3 linked regions of the Tribolium castaneum genome follow. The protein of the gene in region 3 binds, or shares a complex with, the protein of the main gene of each other region. Links are inferred from orthologs where the notes say so. Each region holds a gene or a part of one and is shown on either strand. Other genes may lie near its edges. The genes, in order: thoc7, thoc6 and Hpr1.

The links.
Region 1: the proteins of Hpr1 (region 3) and thoc7 are in contact, whole or in part, in a cryo-EM structure (PDB 7APK), measured with the Homo sapiens proteins. The link is inferred for Tribolium castaneum from reciprocal best matches to the Homo sapiens genes THOC1 and THOC7. Residues at the interface, in NP_005122.2 of Homo sapiens: Leu10, Arg14, Glu46, Gln53, Arg56, Glu60, Ile63, Ile64, Asp99, Asp102, Cys103, Leu104, Pro105, Arg146, Gln151; in NP_079351.2 of Homo sapiens: Tyr47, Gln51, Leu54, Ser55, Ser58, Gln59, Phe62, Gly65, Lys66, Leu69, Val70, Met73, Arg76, Glu77, Asn80, Ile84, Ile88.
Region 2: the proteins of Hpr1 (region 3) and thoc6 are in contact, whole or in part, in a cryo-EM structure (PDB 7APK), measured with the Homo sapiens proteins. The link is inferred for Tribolium castaneum from reciprocal best matches to the Homo sapiens genes THOC1 and THOC6. Residues at the interface, in NP_005122.2 of Homo sapiens: Ser227, Pro229, Ile230, Asp231, Tyr232, Leu234, Arg236, Val270, Ser273, Tyr274, Asp309, Leu312; in NP_001334633.1 of Homo sapiens: Leu57, Ser58, Ser59, Glu60, Pro312, Glu313, Lys315, Thr330, Asn331, Gly333, Tyr334, Ala336.

Annotation. Positions count from the first base shown.
Region 1 is NC_087397.1:9,556,814-9,564,222, forward strand, and holds thoc7 (THO complex subunit 7 homolog), read left to right. Parts: upstream 1-1,193; 5' UTR 1,194-1,314; coding exon 1,315-1,351; intron 1,352-1,404; coding exon 1,405-2,018; 3' UTR 2,019-2,139; downstream 2,140-7,409. Other genes in the region: alpha-ketoglutarate-dependent dioxygenase alkB homolog 6, read right to left, coding at 2,140-2,787; arginine-hydroxylase NDUFAF5, mitochondrial, read left to right, coding at 2,983-3,274, 3,321-3,472, 3,813-4,152, 4,267-4,409, 4,460-4,612. UniProt on the Homo sapiens protein: Component of the THO subcomplex of the TREX complex which is thought to couple mRNA transcription, processing and nuclear export, and which specifically associates with spliced mRNA and not with unspliced pre-mRNA.
Region 2 is NC_087395.1:25,797,892-25,805,993, reverse strand, and holds thoc6 (THO complex subunit 6), read right to left. Parts: upstream 3,931-8,102; 5' UTR 3,750-3,930; coding exon 3,637-3,749; intron 3,591-3,636; coding exon 3,201-3,590; intron 3,156-3,200; coding exon 2,993-3,155; intron 2,944-2,992; coding exon 2,623-2,943; 3' UTR 2,591-2,622; downstream 1-2,590. Other genes in the region: uncharacterized protein LOC103314375, read left to right, coding at 1,328-1,503, 1,888-2,309; protein rhomboid, read right to left, coding at 4,311-4,646, 4,694-5,014, 5,067-5,240; uncharacterized protein LOC662691, read right to left, coding at 6,503-6,945, 7,264-7,676; DNA oxidative demethylase ALKBH2, read left to right, coding at 4,147-4,162. UniProt on the Homo sapiens protein: Component of the THO subcomplex of the TREX complex which is thought to couple mRNA transcription, processing and nuclear export, and which specifically associates with spliced mRNA and not with unspliced pre-mRNA.
Region 3 is NC_087399.1:4,611,082-4,619,991, reverse strand, and holds Hpr1 (THO complex subunit 1), read left to right. Parts: upstream 1-4,330; 5' UTR 4,331-4,432; coding exon 4,433-4,471; intron 4,472-4,518; coding exon 4,519-5,190; intron 5,191-5,236; coding exon 5,237-5,460; intron 5,461-5,508; coding exon 5,509-6,523; coding exon of another isoform or gene 6,524-6,645; 3' UTR 6,646-6,671; downstream 6,672-8,910. Other genes in the region: rRNA N6-adenosine-methyltransferase ZCCHC4, read right to left, coding at 6,520-6,645, 6,691-6,925, 6,971-7,255, 7,300-7,742, 7,788-8,048. UniProt on the Homo sapiens protein: Component of the THO subcomplex of the TREX complex which is thought to couple mRNA transcription, processing and nuclear export, and which specifically associates with spliced mRNA and not with unspliced pre-mRNA.

The sequences.
Region 1 (7,409 bases), on a different chromosome or scaffold from region 3:
ATAACTAAAGTATCCACGTTTATTAAAAATGTGATTTAAATAATGAATCAAGTAGTAATAAAATAATAATAAACAAGGAAAGTACACCGTTATCAGTCATGTTTACTTTGGTGTACTTTACCCTTTATTAATTTTTTCTCATTAGACACGTGAAATCACCTAGAGTAAATATAATCATCAGGTGATCATTCCGTTAGTACCTGTACCGATAGAAACCAGATATTAAATATCTTGCAATGCTTCAAGTTTGATATAATTGATAAAATATAAATAAAACAATATTTTAAAGCTTAATTAAATATGAAACTACGAGTTACGTGTCTAAAAAGTAAAAACTATTTAGACTGTTTATTGTAAGATTTACCGAAAATTCATCTTATTTTTTTGTTTTGAATTTAAATTGTGATGACCTTTCTAGACCTTTCTGTTTTTTGTCAAATGCACATCGCGTATGAAATACTCTAATAGCGATAAAAAATTTTGAAATATGTCTATCCAAAATAATAATAAATAAATTACCCAAATAACAAACATCATTAAAATTGAAATTAGAAACTTTTTGCTTTTTTGTGAAAACAGAAAATAGCACAAGAAATAACTTGTGGTAGCAAAAACTGGAGCAGATTCACTTAAAATGTAAAAATCTTTAATACATAGTTTATTTTTTGTTGAATTTTTTGAGGTATTATTGTGTTTACAAAAACGGCCAAAAAATAGCTTGCGGGAGCAAAAAATTGCACAAAAAAAGCTTTCAGGAGCAAAAACAACTCAAAACAAATAGGTTGCGACAAAAAAAATGCACAAAAAATTGCTTACAGGAGCAAAAAACGACACAAAAATTTGCTTTTTTGTATTTCCGGGACTAAAGTTGGTACTTTAGAAGCTTAAAGTTCGAGGGCTGTCGTTATGCAACGAGCGTATGCGAGACACCTAGACACCTGAGAACTTTAAGCGTTTTTGCATAAATTATTATTCAAAATTTTTTGTTTTTGTTTAAATTTAAAACACGTTGCTATGGAAAGCGTGTTTTAAAATAGTGAAAACATTCGTAGCCGATGACAAAATCACCAAAATACGTATTATTTAATAAAATAAATTATAGTCATATTTTTAAATGATTTACGCTTTATAAGCTTTTGTTATATGCAACCATTAAAACACTTATCTCAACATGTCCTCTAATTGCTATTTCTAGTAATTTTTGGTTTAGACTTTCGATGCAACTGTTGGCAAGTGCCAACATTTGACAATTTGTGTCATAACCTCAAAAAATACAAATTTTTCGGCGTCCACAGTGCAAACAAATCCGCCTTAATGAAACAAAAGGACAAACGTGGTACCATGTCGGATGGTAAATACTTCCCTTATAAAATTACTAGTGTGTCCAAACAGTAAAACTTCTAGAGGACATTATCAAAAGAAAGTTACTCATAGACGGTGACGGAACCGGCGACGATCGCAGGCTCAACGTAATAGCAAAAACTCTTCGAAAATGGGCAAATTCCACCGAAGACTCCCCCTTAGAGAACCAAGCAACCCACGACAAACTACTAGCACAATTAAGCCTTTGTGAATACTCAGTCAGGAGATCCCAACTCCTCACAAGAACCACATCGCGTCAGCTTGAAAACTACAAAAAAATTTACGACAAATTTGAACAGCAAATCAGCGAAGTAAAAGACTCAATCAAACAAAACAAAGACAACTTAGTACAAGCCAAAATATGGAAACAAAACCACATGATGTACGATTTGTTGGCACAAAGTATTGCCGAACAGCCAGCACGCAAGGAAACAAACGAACGCCTTTCGAACTTACAAGCGGAACTGAAAGAGTTGCACAAGGAAAAGGAGCTGCTGGAGCAGAAACTGGACATGAGGAGAAAACAATTTCACGTGCTGGTGTCCAGCGCCAGCAAATTACAAGCAATGTTGGAGGAGTCAAACGAATATTGCCATAACGACAGTCTACTTGAGGATGTGGCGGACAGCACAGGCCCTGAACCCATGTCTGAATAATTTAAGTTGGTAAAAGTGACAATTACCACGGTTACTTAATTTATGTTAGAAAATCTGACAGTTACCATGGTTACATGTCATCAGCTATGTTATTTTAGGCGAATAAAAGCAAGTACAAAAATTATTTGAATAGTTTTATTTTAAGCACCTTAGTCACATTTCTAATGGTTAGAGAAACTCTCGTGTCTCTTTTGACTTTATCGCCAATGGCGTATTGTTTCTCACAATTTAGTAAATTTGCACAGCCTTCATCAATAACATCAGTTTCAATTTCTCTAATGGAATGGAGGTATTTAGCGTACATGTCGTCTTTAATTACAACTAGACTACACCTTTCGAGAAGTAATTGGCAAACTTTAGCACGACTTTCGTTATTTTCTAAAAACTCTAATACTGTATGAGAGCCACACGAAATGGTGGCAATAGTGGGATAAAACAGTGGCCCATCAGTGTGTGGCATTATGCCTTGGCCGGGAAGATATTCGTTGATTAATACTTGATTCGGTTTGTTTCCCTCAAAAACGTTCAATTGAGCGACTTTTTCCATGTATTTCGTCAACCAGTTTGGTATTGCTTCCGGAATCATGCCTTTCTCGTGGGGCACGCCCCCGTAGTCTTGCAGTCTTCGTTTGGACAAACACGTCCACTTTGGTTTGGGCACTGAATACACATTTTTCAAAATGTGGGCCTCCTCTTCAGGTGTTACAAAATTTGGAATGTAGTAGACAGTCGGAGGGGCTTGTAACACTTGAAAACTGCTCAGATCCATCGAACACACAACAGTAAAATAAATACATGTAAGAATTTGGAACAGAAAAATGGGGCGGAGGGCTAAATCTAACTTCAATCACAACAGTTGACATACATTTGACATTTGGTTAACCTCAAAATCCTAAACTGTCATTGTGACAATTATGATTTGTTGTGCTGAAATGAGTTGTTTTTAATTCATTTAAACAGTGTCATGTCTTTGGTTAATATAGTTTTCCGTTCACGTAAATCCTCTTTGACAAAACTCCGCATTTTGAAGAATCTTAAAAAAGCGAGACACTTTTCGGTCGGTGCTTTAATTCACCAGAAAAATGACGAACACATTATGCATGTGTTTGATAGGAACACCAAGAGTTTGCAAAGGGAACGGGCGGCTTCCGCACAAGACGCCAATTTGTATGATTATTTGAAAGATGAAATTGGCTATCGACTAGCAGACAGGGTGTTTGATATCAAACGCAAGTTTAAACTGGCCGCAGACATTGGTGAGTTTAAGTTCATACAGGAAGAGGAAGGTTAAACCTAAATTAGGTTGCAGCAGGGGCTACGTGTCCAAACATATTTCACCAAAATGTATTGAAGAACTAATCTTATGTGATATGAACCGCTTTAATTTAGACAGTGTTCAAGTACAAGAGGGTATTAAAGTTAGGAAACAAGTACTAGATGAGGAACACATTGAGGTGATTGAAATTTCCTGATCAAAGTAGTCTCCGACTTTAAAATTAATAAGTTGGCGACAATGACGCCCTTGTCAGCATACTCATGTTGCCAACCTATTAATTTCAATGTCTCAGCTACGGATCTCTAAATGTTAGGATATCAAACGAAGTACAAGTAATAAGTTCCTTGATAGTTCCGTTAATGTCGCCAGAGAGCGGCAGTTGTTCCATTGTAAAGTTTAACCCTGCATTTTTTACAAGTTATTAGGGAGTTGGTTTGATTTAAATCCTGCAAGTTTGTATCTCGTTTAGTCTCCTAGCCATAATCCTCTGTAACTGGTTTAAAATATATTACATTCAGTTTGAGCCAAACTCCCTTGATCTGGTTATATCAAGTTTGAGTTTGCATTGGGTGAACGATTTGCCGAACGCTTTTAAGCAAATTTTAAAATCGCTTAAGGAGGATGGTGTTCTTCTTGCGGCGGTTTTTGGAGGAGATACTTTATATGAGTTGAGATCTTCCCTCCAGTTGGCTGAATTAGAGCGTCGTGGAGGCATTTCTCCTCACATATCTCCATTTACCGAAGTTAGAGATATTGGCAATTTGTTGACAAGGGCTGGCTTCACAATGCTCACTATTGACACTGATGAAATTGTTGTGAATTATCCTACTTTGTTTGAATTAATGTGGGACCTTAAAGGTTAGGGTGATTATACCGGGTGACTATTATCACAGTGTTTCCAATATAGTATTTTGTACAAACTGTTATAGTCACCCGGTGTATTATTATTGTTTTTATAATGTGAGTTTTTAGGAATGGCAGAGAGTAATGCTGCTATTAATAGGTCGCTTCATTTGCACCGAGAGACTCAGTTTGCTGCAGCAGCAATTTACCAACAACTTTACGGTAAAACTGATCCTGAGACGGGGAAAACCACAATACCTGCCACTTTTCAAGTGCGTACCAAATTATTTTATTTATCTAATTTGTAGTTAATCATTTTTAGATCATTAATATGTTAGGGTGGAAGCCCCATCCCAAACAACCTAAACCACTAGAGAGGGGAAGTGGGGAAGTATCATTAAAGGATTTGTACAAATTGGATGAAATCATTAAAGAAGTAAAGAAGATCAAAAACGACGATGATCAGAAGAATTAGTTTAAAGTCATTAGATAAAATCTAGTTTGGTTTGTATATTTTGACATGAAGTTTCTATATTTTATTGAAGTGTTGAAACGAAAACGTGTCTTTTTACACCTAGTCGTCGTGCATTTGGATAACATTTAAAACATAGCAAACAACAAACTACAACAGATAGAGAATTACATTCCCATAAGTATGATGCAAAAATTTTATCGTAAACTATATTAAAAAAAAATCAAACTTTCACCAATTTGCACGCTGCGAATTAAATCCTACAAAAAAATCCGTGAGACTTAATTTTTTTGTTGTATTTCTTGTAGAAATTTGTCGTCAGTTTTCCTTAGCCTGTTAAGAGTGAAAAGCTCAACATTTCTGCGTTTTTTGTAGTTATGAGTGAATTGGTTGGATTTAAAGTAATTTCAAACCATGGCCTCCTTGATGTATGGAGCTTTAACAACCTCCATACATCAAGGAGACCATGACATGCAGAGATGACACGGTAAAGTTAAAAGATTTCTGTAAAATTGCAGTTTCAATATTAATATTAGTATGCGTTAGATGGTGACATCTAGGTTCCAGGTACTAAAGTATAATTTTACAGAATTCTATAAAGAAATGTGCATCATTTATGTATACTTTTTAAAATAGCGGATTACAGTAACCTGTAAATTTTTTAGTATTACATAGTTTAATAAATAATTCCAAAACCAAAATTTGTATCAGGATCACGAAAACGCAAGAAAATCTTTACATTTTTTCACTTCTTTGAATGCTTGTAATGCTAATACACATTTTGGTTTAAAATTATTGCAGAATTATTTTATTTAAACTTCTGTATAGTTGGTTGCCTATATAACTTGTCAAAGATTGCAAAATTTTAGAAATTAAATTCGTAGTGAATCACTGGAACCCCAAAAGGTCTAAAGTCAATGTTTCTGTGATTTTAATAAACATTTTGGTTTTAAATTTTTGTTTGTTTAAGGTTTTATGGGCTTGGTTTTAGGTTGTGAGTTCTCAAGGGCAATTTTTACATTATCTAGGAGACTCCAGGGCCATTATTTACTTGGGAATTGTATCCTGATTTTGGTCATCATTGAAGAGTTTGCTCTTATCGCATTTTATGGTACTGAAAGAATAAAATCCGACTTTGAATTTATGTTGGGGCCCAATTTGCCGATCATTTGGTTGATTTTTTGGTGGTTGACGACCCAAAATGGTTAATGTACTGGATGGGATTTATACAGTCACTAAAATGGATGGTTACACCACGGTAGATGTGAGTTTAAAATTTTTGGGCCTGGTGTATATTTTAATTTATGTTTTGTGCAGAAATTTAAAGCTTTGTTTAAACGGGCGCACCCAATTTTGCAGTTCACTTGGATGCAGTGGAAGAGTAAAGCAAAACAAAACGAGAGGGCACTGGAGAATACAGGGGAACGCGAAAAAAGCAAATCAGAATCGAACGAGTAATGGATACTGAGTATGTGGACCCCTACTACTATTTGAAAATGAACAAAATAAGATTAAGCCTCCAAGACTGGTTATAAGTTGTCGAGGACGCAATTCATAATTGTTTCAGTTCGGAAGAGGTGCTTTTAGGAATGGGCCATATATTATTCCAGACACTAATATAACGCATGTTTGCCACAGGAGGTTTATTGAAAGCGAAGATACCACAGAACTGTAATTTTTCCGAAATTATTTTTGTATATACCGACTTATATACCAAGATATTACATACTTATTGTTATTTATTTTGTTACAGTTTTTTAATAAAGTGTTAAAATTGTGTTTTTTTTTATTTTCCTTCATTAATAACTTTTACTCAATTATCTAAATAATTATCAAGTTAGGCAACCTAAACTTTTGCTTGTACAACTGGTTGCATAATGTTTGCATTTTTTAAATTTTGGGGTACAACTATCAGGGGTATCCAAATAAGTAACACAAATGTAAAGATTTCTTTGTCTTTCTCTCATGGCCTCCTTGATGTATGGAGACAACGTCGTTGTTCAGGCCTGGCGCATCGATAAGCTTCAGCGGTTTTTTCGAGACCGTAGATGGCGCCCTATTTAGCGCACTGACGTTTATCTGACAAATAGCATTTGTGAGGTTAAATCCGACAAAAAAATTGAATTTAACAAGTACAATTAGCAGAAGAGAAGGTGAAAAAGAGCTTACAATGTAATTGTAAACAAATACAACAATAAATACAAAAACTCAAAAAAATTAATAAAGTAGTAGATTTTTTTCGGGAGTTTGGTGATTCACGAGCGGTGCGTGAGAGTGAGCAGAGGTCTAGACAGGGACTATAATTAACTATAATCTATGGCAGGGACTTTGGAACGGACGGTCCAGAGATACTCCAGCAGAGAGTAACGCAGCAGAGGAACGCTGGATCGAGCTTTTTTAAACCATTTCATTTGAAAAAAACGACATTCTTTGTACATTTTACTAAAATTAAATTAACAATAGCAGGTTTTGAAAATACGTGTGTGCAAAATAGTTTCATTTGCCTAAACAATGTATTGCAAATATCTGCTGATTAAAAGGTTGCAAATACCTTTCAGAAAACTTAAGCCATGTCTTAAAAATCACAGATTTGTAACGCATTCTACCTAAACCATTGGTAAAACCATATAGTATGCCTAATAAATGAAAGGTACTTTGAAACATCGTTTTCTTTAATATTTATAAACGATGACGAACCACCAATTCACCCTAAAATAATTTGTATATCTTCTGAAGCTGAAAATAAAAAATCCTAATGATCGTAAAATGATTTCCTGCAAGAGTTACACTATCCAAACGT
Region 2 (8,102 bases), on a different chromosome or scaffold from region 3:
ATATCAATTTTTCACACGAATTAAAAATTTAAAATTTTTTGCCTAAATTTAGGGTAGCCATTTGTCATAGTGGAAAATTTTATCCAACAAAAAAATTCATAACTCAAAAACTAAAAGTCGTAGAGTAATGCGGTTTGTTCCATTGAATTCAGCGGCTCATTTTCTGTGTTATACGAACTTTTCATGAGATTTAAAAATTTGATTTTTTTTTGCTAAAATTTCCTGAGTAATAACACTTACCTTCAAGAAAGTGAAAAAATTATTTTTTTTTAAATTCGTTCTATCATATTTTTCGTATTTATAAATGTCCTTACAACTCTCTAGAGTTGTTAAAAGTCCAAAAAAAGTCTATATGTTCGATTTTTTGATGTTTGATTTTTTCAATTTTCGTCGCAATTTTTGTCAATTTTGAGTACCCGGAACATTTGTTGAGCTATAGCTCCGGAACTATCAGAGATAACCCTATAAAGTGTATTATCGTTGGAAAGCTCTTTGAATTATCTATTTTTTTCAAAAAAAATTATTGTTCTCCGACTAATAGTTTTTGAGCAAATTGCAGATAAATGCAAAAATTGGTAAAATTTTAAAAAATTCATAACTAAAAAACTATTGGGAATTTGGCAATTTTTTCGATGCCAATCGATTCCCCGGATCATTTTGCATGGGTGAGGATCAAAACAGTTCCACTTTTTCAAATAGTTTAGTCGTAATTGGGAAAATAAAAAAAGTTAAAAAAAGTTAACACAATAAAAATAGTTAACACAATAATAAAAAAAGTCGTAGAGCAATGCGGTTTGTTCCAATGAATTCAGCGGCTCATTTTTCGTCTTATAATCACTTATTAGTATTAAGTATCAAAAATAAAAAAATAGTTCAAAATTCTTGAATTATTTGCTAAGGAATCAATAGTTAGTAGTTATAATCTAGCAGCCAAACAAACTTTTCTCTGTTTTGTCCGCTTGTTTCCCAGCCATCTCCGATAATTCCGAAAATGAATCGATTATCGTCGAAGTGTACACTTGCCTGGGGTCATTTCTGCGTTCCGTGGGCTATAATTCACAAGTCTGGTTAGAGGAGGAGTCCGGTCTGTAGTTACCGGTCCATAGCTCACATCCTCCTCCAGCGTGTGGTGTTTAGTTTGTCAGAGGGGCAATTAAACGCCTCGGAAACTCAGGTCAAGGGGTACAAAATCGTGGAAAACACCTGTTCAATATCCACCCACGAACGATAATTGTAGGGTCGTCGCAATCTCCTTATTAATCTCGATCGTGTGTGTGTGTTTTTTTTCCTATTCGGACAACCAAAGCTAATTGTGGGTAAATTTTAGGCCACGATTGAAAAACCGGCCAACATTCCGGTCGTCTTGGCCTTCCCCAGCATTCTCTACCAGACGAGAGTCGGAGGATACCAAGCCGAAATTGCCTTGCCTTTGGGGATGGTGGTTAATGCCGTTTTTAAAAACCAGCACTGGTTGTATGTGCAGACGCCGCATGCCGAGGAGGGGTATGTCAGCTATGCGGCCTGTTTACCACTAGGTAATAAACAGATTTTTTCCTAATTTTTTGACTCAAAAAAGAGCGAAATCGAGCAATTTTTAGTCAAAATCAAGTAACCTGTGTTTTTTTTTAAATCAAGTTGGCAAAGTTCAACTTATAGTGTGTCAAAGTCATAGACTGCTTAAATTAAAGGTTTCACTATAAAAACTGATATGATGAGTAAAATATGAGTATTTTTCTGAACATTTAATAGAATAATAATTTTTTTTTGTAAGTTAGGTAACTAATAATTTGGTAATTTGTGCAATAATGTTTCAATGAAAATGATTTGTTTGTAGCTTTAATTTTTGAAAATTTTGTTAAAATGGTAAAATCAAAAAAATTATATCAGGCATTATCCCACCCCCTGAGGACGACGCCACCGCCCCTTGCTGGGAGAACAGCACCGATGTGTTCCCTAAACCCTCCGGCAACATGACCGACACCGAAAAACTCAGCTCCAAGTCGGAATGTAGCGTCGAGACGCGCTGCCACAGCCGAAGACTGCGCCCCTCAAGCACCTGTGAAGAAAGAAGCGTCGATCGACTCTACCTCAGCGCTTTGGCATCCTCAAAACGTGGCAAAATCCAACGACAAACACTCCTAGTCATCAACAGTGACTACTTTGGCACCGAAAAAAATGCCCTTCAGGTGCAGAAAGGCGACGTTGTGGTACTCCAGGGTACCCATGTGCCGGGGTGGTTCTGGGTGCGCAACAAGGAGGGAGAGGAGGGGTTCATACCGGCGGTTATAGCCGGACACGGATTTTTGTAAATAAAAGTTGTACAAATTATTTATTAAAAATTTATTTCAAACAGTTTAAATTGTCTTTTAATACAGTCCTGCCAACTTAAATATGAAATTTGCGATTTCACACAATAATACGCCAATTTGAGCACTCAAACTTGGCCATACTGTAACTTAATTGTTCTTAAAAAAATAATAAGGGTTATAAACGATTTGGGGTCACATTCGAGCGATTTTTGACTCTTTAACGGTACCTTATCCTAACCTAAAGAGCATCAATGACAGCTGTCAAATTCAAATTCTGGACGAATTATTTATGGTTTATTATTTTACTAAAGACTTAATACAGAGATAGTTGCAAATTTTTGTAGATAAAGTTGCTACAAACGTCGATTTTGGGGCTCGACCCCGCAATGCACAAAGTCTGGAAGGGCTCATCCTGATGCACCGCACTGTACGTGGTCACAGGAGACGTCGGAATTTCCGTGATAATGTCCCCGTTAAAACTCATTTGGTAGAATAAATTAGAGCGCCCCCCTGCGAAAATCCTGTCTTGGTAGACCTCCGCCACATGAATCCCTTTATCGTCAATGGGGAACACTGTGGCGATATTCAGGGAGCGCAAGTGCCATAAAGACAGTCGGGGGCCGCCGCCGCACAACTAAAAAATCATTTAAGGGGGGCCACTTCGCCCAAAATTGCTGACATACCAGCCAATCATCGTTAATCCCAACGCCCCCTATCCAGGGCCCCAGCTCCACCCTGGCCACTTTATCCCTACTGTGGGGCTCGATTTTGCTCACTGGGGGGCCTCCTCTCACATCCCATAGCAGCACAAGCCCGTCTTCGCCCCCCGAAACCAGTTTATTGTTACTGAAATGCCATGTGACCAAAGTACAGGTTCCTGTAATCACTTACCAGAAATTGATGCAGTGAACGTAATTCTTGTGCCCTTTAAAACACCGCACTTCTTTTCGTGTCTCGATGTTGAAAACGTAAACATTATTATCGCCACAGGCGGCAAATAATAAATTATTTTCGGGCTCAAACACTAAACAATTAACGTCAGGTTTGTCGAAACTGTCTTTGGAGTTCGGGATTTCAATTGTCCACGAGCAGGAGGGTTTTTTGCTCGTTTTGACGTTCTTCCAGGAGTACCCCAAAATCTCGCCAACTGTCCCCACAACAAGGAACGCTTTCATGGTCAATAAACTGTTGATTTGGACGTCTTCTTTAATCGTGAATGCGTTTTTGGGCAGTTGGTCTTCTTTTGTGATCGAAGATCCTTGGTTTGTTAGCTTGGAAAGGCTGGAACTGGGGTTCAGGGGGCTGCTGGAAGTTACTTAATACTTACTGGAAGACCGAAATTGTGCCGTAAATGTCACCTACGACGAGATAGTTGCCACACGGGGTGAAAGTCTGGCTCAAAACAGTGTTATAGAACGATTTATTCAACTTGTTCACCATTTTGAGGTTAAGAAAAAATAACTTTTTGTGAATTAAACGCACGTTTAATAGGCAATATTACTGTACAAAGTCTGGTTTTATTACCAATTATACGATTACAAAGGGCGCAAACGTGTATTTAACATAAATACAGCCCCAAACATTAAACAATATAACCTCAATCGACTTAATACAGGCAACTTAACATGCAACGCGGTTAAGTTAGTTGCATACCTAACTTTATTTATGTTTTTTTTATGTCATAATTAAACATATTATACTATAAACTCTAAAACAAACGTAAAAAATATACCTTAAAACGTACACATATTTGTATAGATATAAAAAAAGAACGAGAAAACGCAGATTTAAGTGTTAAAAACGTTAAAAAAATCTCAGTTGAGCTAGTGGTGTTGTGATGAGCGTGCAACCAAGTAAGCAGCAGTTTGTTTAATCGTTTATTTTTCACTTTTTTACAAAACCAACGTCTAAAAATAGCCGCAAACATCTATAAGTTGTGTAATTTCACGCTTTACTTTGCTACCGCACATTTATAGCCAAACACTCGTTATAAAAAAAATATCAGCAAAAATAAACATACCGCTTGCGTATGGCATCCTTCGGAGTACATTTTTTAATCTGAACGGTTATTATTACAAGCGAGATCAATAAAATTACGTAAAGTAATAAACCCACCAAAAATAAAACTAATCTCCGTGTGCGTGCAATTGACGGTTTTTGCTTGAAGAGCACTAGACCCAAAAACAGGCCTGCGAGGCCCCCGATCATGTGGGCCCCCCACGATATCAAAGGCTCCTTTTTAAAATTGGCATGTAACACGTTGTAGATAATGTCGAAAATGACGATTATTCCGATACACGCAGATCTGTAGATTTTGTAATTCAAGGTTTCAAAGTTCTGAAAAAAATTACAAAAATGTTGTTTCTCGCTCGCTTTATACCTACTAGAAAAATATCGGAAATGTGCGAAATTAAAAGCGCATACACGCCCCCGGAGGCCCCAATGACCAAGTCGGGGTGAAAACAGGCCGCTCCCAAGACTCCGGTGATTCCCCCGGTCACGTACAAAACAAGAATCCGCACGCTTCCGTGTCGCGCTTCTAAAAAATAGGCGAAAAGCACTTGCATGAAAATATTGAGAGTCAGGTGGATCCAGTCTTCGTGCAAAAGCATGTAGGTGACGAATCGCCAAATTTCGGTCAGTTTGTGCGGTTCGAAGCGGAGCAGTTTTTGGGTTTTTTCATCCGAGGCAGCGTAGAAGATTATCTGGTGAATTACCATAAACATTAGCTAAAAATAATGCAAAAATCTGGTTTACCTCTAAAACACTGACTGACAAAATACCGAAAGGTGTGTTTCTTGCCCAAGCGGCCCATTGCGACGATTTCTTCACTTCTTGTGATAAGGGAAAGGGGATAAAAACTTGCTCGGTTTCGATTAAGGGGTCGATGGGGTCGGTTAATTTCACTTGGATTTTTTGCGACGGTGGCATAATTAAAATTTACCAAATTTGGGTCGAAAACTTAATTAATTAAAATTGTGTGTGATAATAAATTAGGTACTTACTGGAACATGTCCGAAAGTGGAGGGAAATAGGCCCGATTTTGTGTCGTACTATTTGAGCAATTATTATGCGGCATCTACTCCGCATACAGTTTGAATAAAACTGAACCAACTATAAATAGTTAAAGTTATAAAAACAAAAAACTTGCGTTTAAGAAGGTATTTCACTCTCGAGGAGAGTGAAAATAGTTAGACATGACTCCTCTGTAATTGATACACCTACTGACAATTTATTTAATGAAGTAATTGCACCGGTTTTAAGCGAAATGCCAGATAAAAGTGATAAAATCGATGAAACAAGATAAGAATGTTGTTAGTTTGGTTTAATTGTAAATATGCCCCAAAATATGTATGTATTTTTTTTATTTACATTTAAAGTTTAAACTTGCACGTATTTTCTACTCTTACATTTTTATGTTTACTTATCAAAGTAAGCGAAAAAATTCTTATTTTTGTATTTCCGTCAATGGTGACCTAAATATTAGGGTGGCCATGACGTTTTAAGAGCAATAAAATAAAAAAATAATAAAATAAAAAAGGCCAGTAGAATAAACACAAAACCATTTCTTTGATTTTTATTTTTAATAATTACATAAAACGTAAGTTGGTTGAATAGCCTCAAATTGCAGTGTATAAAAATTGTCTGATATTTCCTACAGTTTACCTACATTTTTTCACCTTATTATCCGCTCAAAACAATTAAAAAATTCGTTTAAATTTTTGGTAAAAAAATCCTACAAGACCAATATCACACACGTAATAATTAACCAAAATAATTAAAAACTAAATTAGATGTAATGAAATATCGGCAGAATATCTGAACGTGTTCCATGGCAAATAGAAATTTGTACTTGGCACCTGTCAAGGTGATTGCGGTTGTGAGAGTTAAATTAAATTGAATTAAATTAATACTACAATACGTGAACAAATACGTATTTTAGTCCAGTCACTAAGCCTTTAAATCAAAATACTTTAGCTACTTCCACTCAGCTTATCTCTGTTAATTTCAATAAAAAAAATAACAAACAAAAGAACATTTTTAGTAAAATTATGTAAATAAAAGTCTGTAAAACTAATTCTCGAGGTTGAAAAATATTCGTTGACTCCACGTTTTCGCAATTTTTTTCAAAAACTATTATTTTGATTTGAACCCTTTCTGCTGGACTTTCTTAGGTATAAAGTGAGTGAGATCTAGCATTTCAAAGGCCGACATTGCACCCCGGTCTCAGTGCACCTGCACTCCAAGCAAGGATTCGACAATTCGGAGATTATCCTTCCGACCCGATACATCCTTCCGTAAATATTACAGCCCGCCAGTTTCAAAATTCCGACGTTTGAAGTGCTGGAGTCGACCGTATTTGAGTCGAATTCGGTCGTCGAAAGTCGCTGTGTTGTTGTGGAAGTTGTTGTTGTACTCGTCGTTGTTGTAACTTCTTCCTCGGTTGAGAACAACAATTGCAAGACTTTGTCCAAACTGAACGGTTTTTCGGTGGTTGTTTTGCGCTTTAAAACGTCCACAATCAGCGATTGGAGGTTGGGGGCGGGCTCGGTTCGGATCACGTCCCGGAACGGGTCCGGAGTCACCGTTTCCGGCGAGTCCATGCGGTCCAGGACCACAGTCGGGAGCTCATTGTCTGGAAAAACGCAAAAAAAATCATTCCGTATTTTAAATATCCTGAAAACGCTAAAATCACTAACTTTTGCGTATTGTTAGGTTGGTAGCGCTCCCGCGCTTGTAATTTTCTCCGCCAACTGTCAAATCTTCTAGTTTTGTTAAATCCGAATTCAAAGCGTGATTTTGGTCAAAATTTTGAATTATTTTTGTGTAACGCCGTTTTTAAAGTGTTAATAATCGTTCCTTGTTTGCGTATTAGTGATTGGTGGTAGCAGATTTTGACTTTTTTTGGTAAGTGACTAACGCAAATATTCTCAATTGGGTGATTTGGTCTTACCACATGCAAAAAGTGGGCAACACGTAGTCGGATCTTGTAATAAAAACTTCTGGCAGTCGATTTTCGGTATAGGACAGATGGTTTTCTGGCACACAATGTTGCCGTAAAAACAGCCACAAGTGTTGCATGTTGTTTCGGAAACTATTGACTCTCCATGATTGATTTCTTGTTCGTCCAGAATGCAAGTAATTTCACGCAATTGTGGCGAAATTGTCGTTGTTGTTGTGACAATTTCGTCATACAAATTGTCCAAAATCGGGGGTTGTTTGGGGATGAATCCGCCCTCTGTTTCCACAGGGGGTGAGAACAGGTTGTAAGTGTGTGAGATATCGGTGACACGCTCTTGGGGGTGGATTACGTTGTGTTTTTCGTTTTCCAAGTCGAGGGCGTCCGCTGCGACGAAGGGGATGATTCTGGAACATTATTTCTTCTTACTTTTTCCCTACATTACACGCTCATGTTTTTTAAACAATTTTTTTAAACTCACTCTAGCAAAGTTTTATGGACTTTTGTATGTCTTAACAACCCACTAGAGTTGTTAAAAGTCCAACAAAAGTCCATTTGTTTGATTTTTTGATGTTTGATTTTTTCAATTTTTGTCGCGATTTTCGCCGTTTTCGGGTACCCGAAACATTTGTTGAGCTATAGCTCCGGAACTATCAGAGATAACCCCATGAAGTGTATTATCGTTGGAAAGCTCTTTGAATTATCTATTTTTTTCAAAAAAAATTATTGTTCTCCGACTAATAGTTTTTGAGCAAATTGCAGATAAATGCAAAAATTGGTAAAATTTTAAAAAATTCATAACTAAAAAACTATTGGGAATTTGGCAATTTTTT
Region 3 (8,910 bases):
ATTGCTCTAATTGGTCAAATTAGTCAATAACTAATTTGTCCGGCAAGAACCACGTGGAGGTTTAGAGCATTCTTGCCAGGAAAAATGGATATAAGGATGAGGTAAACAATGATTATTTCAAATGAAGGGAATAAAGGAATTATTGGTTTGTGAAATGAAAAAATAGTACACAAAAATCAAAGCTTTTTCACTTGGCGTTAAATAAATGCTCTTACCTTTATACTGCATCTGCTACCATTTGTAGCAAAACCTAAAAAATAAATTAAAAACACAACCAACAAAAAAATTAATTTGTAGGAAAGTTACAACAAGCGACTTTAATAAATATTATACAGAAAAAAGAATACACAATACGGTATAATATATGGCACACAAGCTATTAAATCAACACATCACAAGATAAAACGCAAAAAAATGCACCTACCTTCATATGGCTTCTGCGTTGGCTACTGTTTGTAGCAAGACATTTAAAAAATTAAAACAACACCAATAAAAATCTTTATTTGCATGAAAGTTACAACAAGCAACGTTTGTCAATATTAAACAAAATAAAAAATACACAATACGTTTGAAATTATTGGTTTGTGAAATAAATAAATACGACACAGCAATAAAATACACCTACCTTCATATCGCTTCCACGTTGGCTACCGTTTGTAGCATTAAAAAAAAATAATAATAAAAATGAAACCAAAAAAATGTTTATTTGCATTAAATTTTGAGCAAGCCACTTTCATTCATTGAAATTAAAGACAAAATTACGTGGCAATAAATTATTTGAGTGTTTTATTTTATTTATAGTTTCTGTATCTAAAATGCGTCACTCAAAATGTCACTTTCAACACCGCATTTAAAGATTTTAATTGCAATTAAGTTTTATGAAATTATTGGTTTGAGAAATAAATAAATACGACACAGCAATAAAATACACCTACCTTCATATCGCTTCCACGTTGGCTACCGTTTGTAGCATTAAAAAAAAAATAATAAAAATGAAACCAAAAAAATGTTTATTTGCATTAAATTTTGAGCAAGCCACTTTCATTCATTGAAATTAAAGACAAAATTACGTGGCAATAAATTATTTGAGTGTTTTATTTTATTTATAGTTTCTGTATCTAAAATGCGTCACTCAAAATGTCACTTTCAACACCGCATTTAAAGATTTTAATTGCAATTAAGTTTTATGAAATTATTGGTTTGAGAAATAAATAAATACGACACAGCAATAAAATACACCTACCTTCATATCGCTTCCACGTTGGCTACCGTTTGTAGCATTAAAAAAAATAATAATAAAAATGAAACCAAAAAAATGTTTATTTGCATTAAATTTTGAGCAAGCCACTTTCATTCATTGAAATTAAAGACAAAATTACGTGGCAATAAATTATTTGAGTGTTTTATTTTATTTATAGTTTCTGTATCTAAAATGCGTCACTCAAAATGTCACTTTCAACACCGCATTTAAAGATTTTAATTGCAATTAAGTTTTATGAAATTATTGGTTTGAGAAATAAATAAATACGACACAGCAATAAAATACACCTACCTTCATATCGCTTCCACGTTGGCTACCGTTTGTAGCATTAAAAAAAATAATAATAAAAATGAAACCAAAAAAATGTTTATTTGCATTAAATTTTGAGCAGCCACTTTCATTCATTGAAATTAAAGACAAAATTACGTGGCAATAAATTATTTGAGTGTTTTATTTTATTTATAGTTTCTGTATCTAAAATGCGTCACTCAAAATGTCACTTTCAACACCGCATTTAAAGATTTTAATTGCAATTAAGTTTTATGAAATTATTGGTTTGAGAAATAAATAAATACGACACAGCAATAAAATACACCTACCTTCATATCGCTTCCACGTTGGCTACCGTTTGTAGCATTAAAAAAAATAATAATAAAAATGAAACCAAAAAAATGTTTATTTGCATTAAATTTTGAGCAGCCACTTTCATTCATTGAAATTAAAGACAAAATTATTACGTGGCAATTAATTATTTGAGTGTTTTATTTTATTTAAAGTTACTGTATTTAAAATGTGTCACTCAAAATATCACTTTTCAACACCGCATTTAAAGATTTTAATTGCATTTAAGTTTTATGAAATTATTGGTTTGTGAAATAAATAAATACGACACAGCAATAAAATACACCTACCTTCATATCGCTTCCACGTTGGCTACCGTTTGTAGCATTAAAAAAAATAATAATAAAAATGAAACCAAAAAAATGTTTATTTGCATTAAATTTTGAGCAGCCACTTTCATTCATTGAAATTAAAGACAAAATTATTACGTGGCAATTAATTATTTGAGTGTTTTATTTTATTTATAGTTACTGTATTTAAAATGTGTCACTCAAAATATCACTTTTCAACACCGCATTTAAAGATTTTAATTGCATTTAAGTTTTATGAAATTATTGGTTTGTGAAATAAATAAATACGACACAGCAATAAAATACACCCACCTTCATATCGCTTCCACGTTGGCTACCGTTTGTAGCATTAAAAAAAATAATAATAAAAATGAAACCAAAAAAATGTTTATTTGCATTAAATTTTGAGCAGCCACTTTCATTCATTGAAATTAAAGACAAAATTATTACGTGGCAATTAATTATTTGAGTGTTTTATTTTATTTATAGTTACTGTATTTAAAATGTGTCACTCAAAATATCACTTTTCAACACCGCATTTAAAGATTTTAATTGCAATTAAGTTTTATGAAATTATTGGTTTGAGAAATAAATAAATACGACACAGCAATAAAATACACCTACCTTCATATCGCTTCCACGTTGGCTACCGTTTGTAGCATTAAAAAAAAATAATAATAATATTGAAACCAAAAAAATGTTTATTTGCATTAAATTTTGAGCAGCCACTTTCATTCATTGAAATTAAAGACAAAATTATTACGTGGCAATTAATTATTTGAGTGTTTTATTTTATTTATAGTTACTGTATTTAAAATGTGTCACTCAAAATATCACTTTTCAACACCGCATTTAAAGATTTTAATTGCAATTAAGTTTTATGAAATTATTGGTTTGAGAAATAAATAAATACGACACAGCAATAAAATACACCTACCTTCATATCGCTTCCACGTTGGCTACCGTTTGTAGCATTAAAAAAAAATAATAATAATATTGAAACCAAAAAAATGTTTATTTGCATTAAATTTTGAGCAAGCCACTTTCATTCATTGAAATTAAAGACAAAATTATTACGTGGCAATTAATTATTTGAGTGTTTGATTATAATTTTATTTACTGTATTTAAAATGTGTCACTCAAACGCGATCACTAGCCACCGAATTGAAAATTTAAACCGGAAAATTTAGATTTGCTTGAACACACGTCCGTTCGCGACAACGGCAAGTAACAAACTGAATAAATTGAACGAAACCGCACAATACACAATAATTTAAATAAACCGACTCACCTCGCTTCGCCTCGCCTCCCGCTCCCGCTCCCGATCTGACCCGTACCACTGCTCGCTGTCGACTGAACCGCCCTCGCCGCCTGCGCCGCACACCTAACCTCGGATGTGACGTCATCACACGTCTAAAACAGGTCATAACCAGAAACATTCACTGTCCAAATCCGTCAAATTTAGAAACATTCATACACAGAATTATTCAAAATAGAACAGTATTGATCTAGAAAAATTAATTATGACAAATGTATTTGTCTATAAACGTCTAAAATTATAAAAGTTTCGCATGCAGTTAATGGAAAAATAAAAATGCATGTTTATATTTAAACAGAAACTGGCAATGTGAAATTTTAGTGCGAAAATTAGTGGTAGAGCTCGGAAACTCTGTAAACGACCACGATAGGCGGAGCCAATGCGTACTTCATCGAGTGAGGAGATTGAGCAGTGGCGTAGCAAAAAACCATTCTATGATCAAGAAGGGTTTGAGATTCATAATTTGTAGTAGTTAAAATTTCCTCTATTCAATAATTGCAAGATGAAATAGTAAAAATCATATCTAATGCTAATACACGTTGATTTCCTAGAAATACAAAGCAGAGAGGTCGAATAAATAAAAATACACAATGAGTAAAGAGTAAAAACGCGTTTATTGCAAAAAATGTTTCTACTGGTATCTTTACTATAACTGGTAATATTGAAATGTTAAACTTTAAGACGAATTCCCTACACATGTAAGTACACGCCACGCCACTGTTTTCTGCCAACACCCCTAATTTAAAGATTGGACTCGTCCGAGACGAGTTTTCGTATCTGCGCACTCCTACCACCGTGGACGATCTGTCATTTCGCGGACTCTAACATTATTTTTGACCTTTGACAGTTGTTTACAAGACGATTCCGGTCGCTTATTCAAGTATTTCACACGAAATTGAGCGTTTTTCACGTTGGGGGCCCTCCAAGCGTTGCATTTAAGCAATGGGGGGCAAATTCGAGTCGTTACGGGTCGAATACCAGGTGGGCCCCGACATAACCTCAAACGCCACTTCTAACCCGGTTTTTAGGACGTTTTACGCAAATCTTTCAAGACCAAAACCACCGATTTGATCGAAACTAAAGCCAAACACTTGTCGAAGTCCGCCATCGACCTTAAGGCCCCTCTGGACCAGGCGTTCCGCGACGTCTTACTCGAACTCCTTGAAAAGGAAGTCAACGTCTCAGTCTTACGCGAGTTGGTCGATTTTAGCGTCCTAACATGTCGCAAGGAACTGAGCAACCCCACAATGCCAGTGATGCTCCTTTCGGACATTTTTGACGCCTTAACGCTGGACGCCTGTCAGGAAATGTTCCTCTACGTAGAGAACAATGTCGAAGTGTGGAAAGAGAACTTGTTTTTCAGTTGTTGCAAAAATAATTTACTCAGGTTGTGTAACGACTTATTGAGGCGGTTATCTCGGTCCACGGCGACCGTTTTTTGCGGCCGAATTCTCCTCTTTTTGGCCAAGTTTTTCCCGTTTTCTGAACGTTCAGGTTTGAATATTGTGAGCGAATTTAATTTGGAAAACACGACAGAGTATGGCACGGACTCGAGCCAGGAAAAGGGGGGCGACGTTGACGGCGACGAAAAGAAAAACGTGATCGATTTCACGTTTTATTGCAAGTTTTGGTCGCTCCAGGATTTTTTCCGGAACCCCAACCAGTTGTACACTAAAGTGCAATGGAAACTGTTTTGCACCGTAATTATTTTTGCGCATTTTAACCGATTTTTATTATTTTTTTTAGTACGCCACGAGTGTCTTTAACACGTTCCAAGGCCTCAAGCTTGAACACGTGGAAAATAACGGGAGCTATTGTGACGAAAGTAAAAATAAAATGTACTTTTCCAAGTACCTGACGAGCCAAAAATTGCTCGACTTGCAACTGTACGACGTCAATTTTCGGCGCGCCGTCCTGTTGCAGTTTTTAATTTTATTCCAGTACCTTTCATCATCCGTAAAATTTAAATCGTGAGTCGGTTTCTTTAAACTAGACGCACCTTTAATTTATTTTTTTAGCGAAAGTTTCGAGTTAAAGTCGGACCAAAAAGAGTGGATCCAATCAAGCACCGAAAAAGTCTACAGTTTGTTACGCGAGACTCCTCCAGACGGTAAACGATTTGCCGAAATCGCCTCAAATATTCTAAGTCGGGAGGAGTATTGGAACGCTTGGAAGAACGACGGTTGTCCCGAACTGAAAAAATCGGTGGTTCCCACGGAAAGCCCCGACAAGCGCCGAACCGAAGAGCGCCCTCTCTTAGGCGACATCATTAAACAGGCCTCCAGTGAGGGCAAATACTACATGGGAAGCACCGAACTGACCAAACTGTGGAACCTATGCCCCGATAACTTGGAGGCTTGTAAAGGCCGAGAGCGCGATTTTCTCCCCACACTTGAGGATTATTTCGCCGATGCCATCGCCCAAATCGAGTCACCTGGCGCAGTCAAAGACGAAGACAATTTACTGAAAGATGGGAATTACGGGTGGCGGGCTTTGAGACTCTTGGCTAAGCGCAGCCCCCACTTTTTCACCTACAGTACTGTGATTATGAACCCCCTGTCTTCGTATTTGGAGATGATGGTCAAGAAAATAGCGCATGATAAGCCAGGTCGCGTGACCGAAAATTCGCAAGAGTCGCAACAAAACGACGCCGAGGAAGAAAATTTGTTTAAGGACACGCAAGTTGATGAAAACACCGAAGACATCAAACCGTCCGAAACGGAGGAATTTATGGACGATAAGAACGCGCGAGTCGAGCATAAATTAAACCCGAACCAGTTGCAACTCTTCAGCGAGAAAGTGGCCCCCAATTGGAAAAAACTAGCCAGCAAGTTGGGCTTCAAAACTGACGAAATCCAGTTCTTCAGTATGGAAAATGAGAAAGAGGTGGACCAGGCCCGTAATATGCTACAACTGTGGTTCGATGACGACGAAGATGCCACTTTGGACAACTTCTTGTACATTTTGGAAGGGTTGGAGATGGAGGAGGCGGCGGAAATTGTCCGAAATGAAATCAATTCGATGGATTCCTAACTGTATTTAACTCGTTTCGCCCTATTTTTACTTTTCAATTTGCGTTTCATATGTAATTGTTTGTGATCAACCTTGGGACAGTCCCGTTTTTTGTGCCCCGGTTGTTTACAGTGGAAACAATCCTTTAATAAAATTATTAAACCTTGAATTGGGAGTTTGAGACTGACCTGAGTAAAGACCAAGTCGCCGCATTTGTGGTCCGGTTGGCAGCACCGACCACATTTTTCGCAGTGCTGCCAACTCGGTTTAACGCACCTTGCACACATGGGACAGTGGGTGTACGTCCGGCCGTCTTTCGAGGTGCATTTCTGGCAAATGGGGCAGTGTTTGTTTTCGTTTGAAACCCATTTGTTGCACTCTTGGCAAAATTTGTAGCCTTCATTCGCCGGAAGGACTATTTTACTACAATTTTTTGTCCCGAAAAGTTCGTAAAAATCGTCGGCTTACCTCGGGTCCACGTTCGTGAAAATTCGGACGGGTGACCCAAATTTCCGCGCCTTAGCGCCGTCTTGAAACAAAGGATGGTTGTCATAGTCGACTTTATAATCGAGCATGGAATAGTCGGGGAGGCTGTTTAGTATTTGCGGTTCCATAAAGTAGGGGAATACCCAAAATACCGACAATTTTGTTTTTTCATTCAGTTGATTGTATTTTTCGCTGATTTGTTTGATTGTGTGGGCTAAGGGCTCGACCCGACCCCCGAAAGGTGGGTCTAAAATCAGTACGAGATCGCTGAAAAAAATAATTAAAAAAAATAGACGTAGCGCTTTAATCACCTCTCAGTTTTTAAAAAATCCTCAAACACTTGTTGAGACTCGGGGAGAAAAAAATGGTTGTTGAAACTATTGTACCAACAAAATTGCAACGGGCCGTAAAAATTGTGATACCGCGAGTCGAAATCTAGTAAAAGTGTGTCCATATCAGGGCACTGATTTGTGATAAATTCGTGGATCCTGGGGGTCCCCAAACTAATAACTTTGCGGTAATTTAAACTTTTAAAAATGTCCACGATCACACGGACCGAAGTCAGTGAAAATAAAAACTGTGCCTCCTTCTTTGCGTCCTCCAAAGGGGGCAAAAACTCACTCGGATGTGCAATTTCATAATCACTAACTGTTGTAACAAAATTATGTTCGGTATGTTTGTCCCAGAATTTTTTCAATTGGAAGCCGGCACACGTATGGCAGTATGCCCTATCAGTTGGGGGTAATTGACGCATCTAAAAAACGCACTCAAACAGCCGAATCATTTTTTAAAATCTTACTTGGTTTAAAGTTATAAATAATTTTCTGTGGTCAATATTCCGAAGAAATTTTTCACGCTCGTTTTTCCACCCCTCAGATTTGTATTTATGTTTTTCGTCTTCGTACAGAAAAAAGGGGCACAGTTTGCGGTCCCTGCAGGCCGAACAGGCGAAAAAACGTCTCTTAACCCCATTACTAGTACGTGAAAAAAGGAGGGTGGGGCCGTGGGAGCACCAGGGGTGGCTTTGCAAGTCGTCAGTAATCACTTCCACGCCTGACATACCTTTAATTTGTTGTTATTTAAGAAATTACGAACTGATTGAATCTAACATAACCCTACTTCTTGGCACACGAGTGCCACTGCCAACCTCAAAAAAAAGAAAAATTTAAATTTGAAAAAAAAAATTAAAAAAATATCGATTGTTCCATTTATTTTAAAGTTCCGGAAAAAATAAATTACAAAACTAATTAAAGAAGACGTTTAGGAAGATAACTACAGTTTTTTCCAATCTTGTTGATTATTTAAACGGTTTTTCTGGCATTTATTTGGTTCAGATTAATTAAAAGTGAGTCTATGAAACTTCACTCTAATTGATTAATTTGTTATGTATCTGTAATATTCAAAAGTAGGTAAATTATTAGCTTACAGTGCATAAAAAAGTGCGATAATTGGGATAATTGCTTGTCTTTGAACGGCCTCCAAAAGTCGTTTTACCACCTTTTTGTTGAAGAAATTTGTTTTGCCTTCGAACCAAATAAATTATTTCTTGTTTTCGATAAATTTATTTATATAAACTGATGAACTTTAATACAATTTTTGGAAAATTTTAGAAATGTTAAAGCACCAAGCTGACAAAAGCAGTTTTCAGTGTTTAAATAATTAATAATACTACTTGAAAACCTTTTATTTGCTACACCTATAACAATCGATAAACGAAATTGGCTAATAATCGATATTTGTGACAAAACACTTGGTACAAGTGGATTTATCTAGTATTAAATATTTTTCGTTTATAAATAACTTTGTGGAGTGTTAGCCTATTTATTGTTACGTGAACATAACTCAAGCCTGCAATTTGTAAAAATTGTAAGTTAAACCATCATTCTACTAATATTTATGCCCCTAATAAATCTTTTACTCGA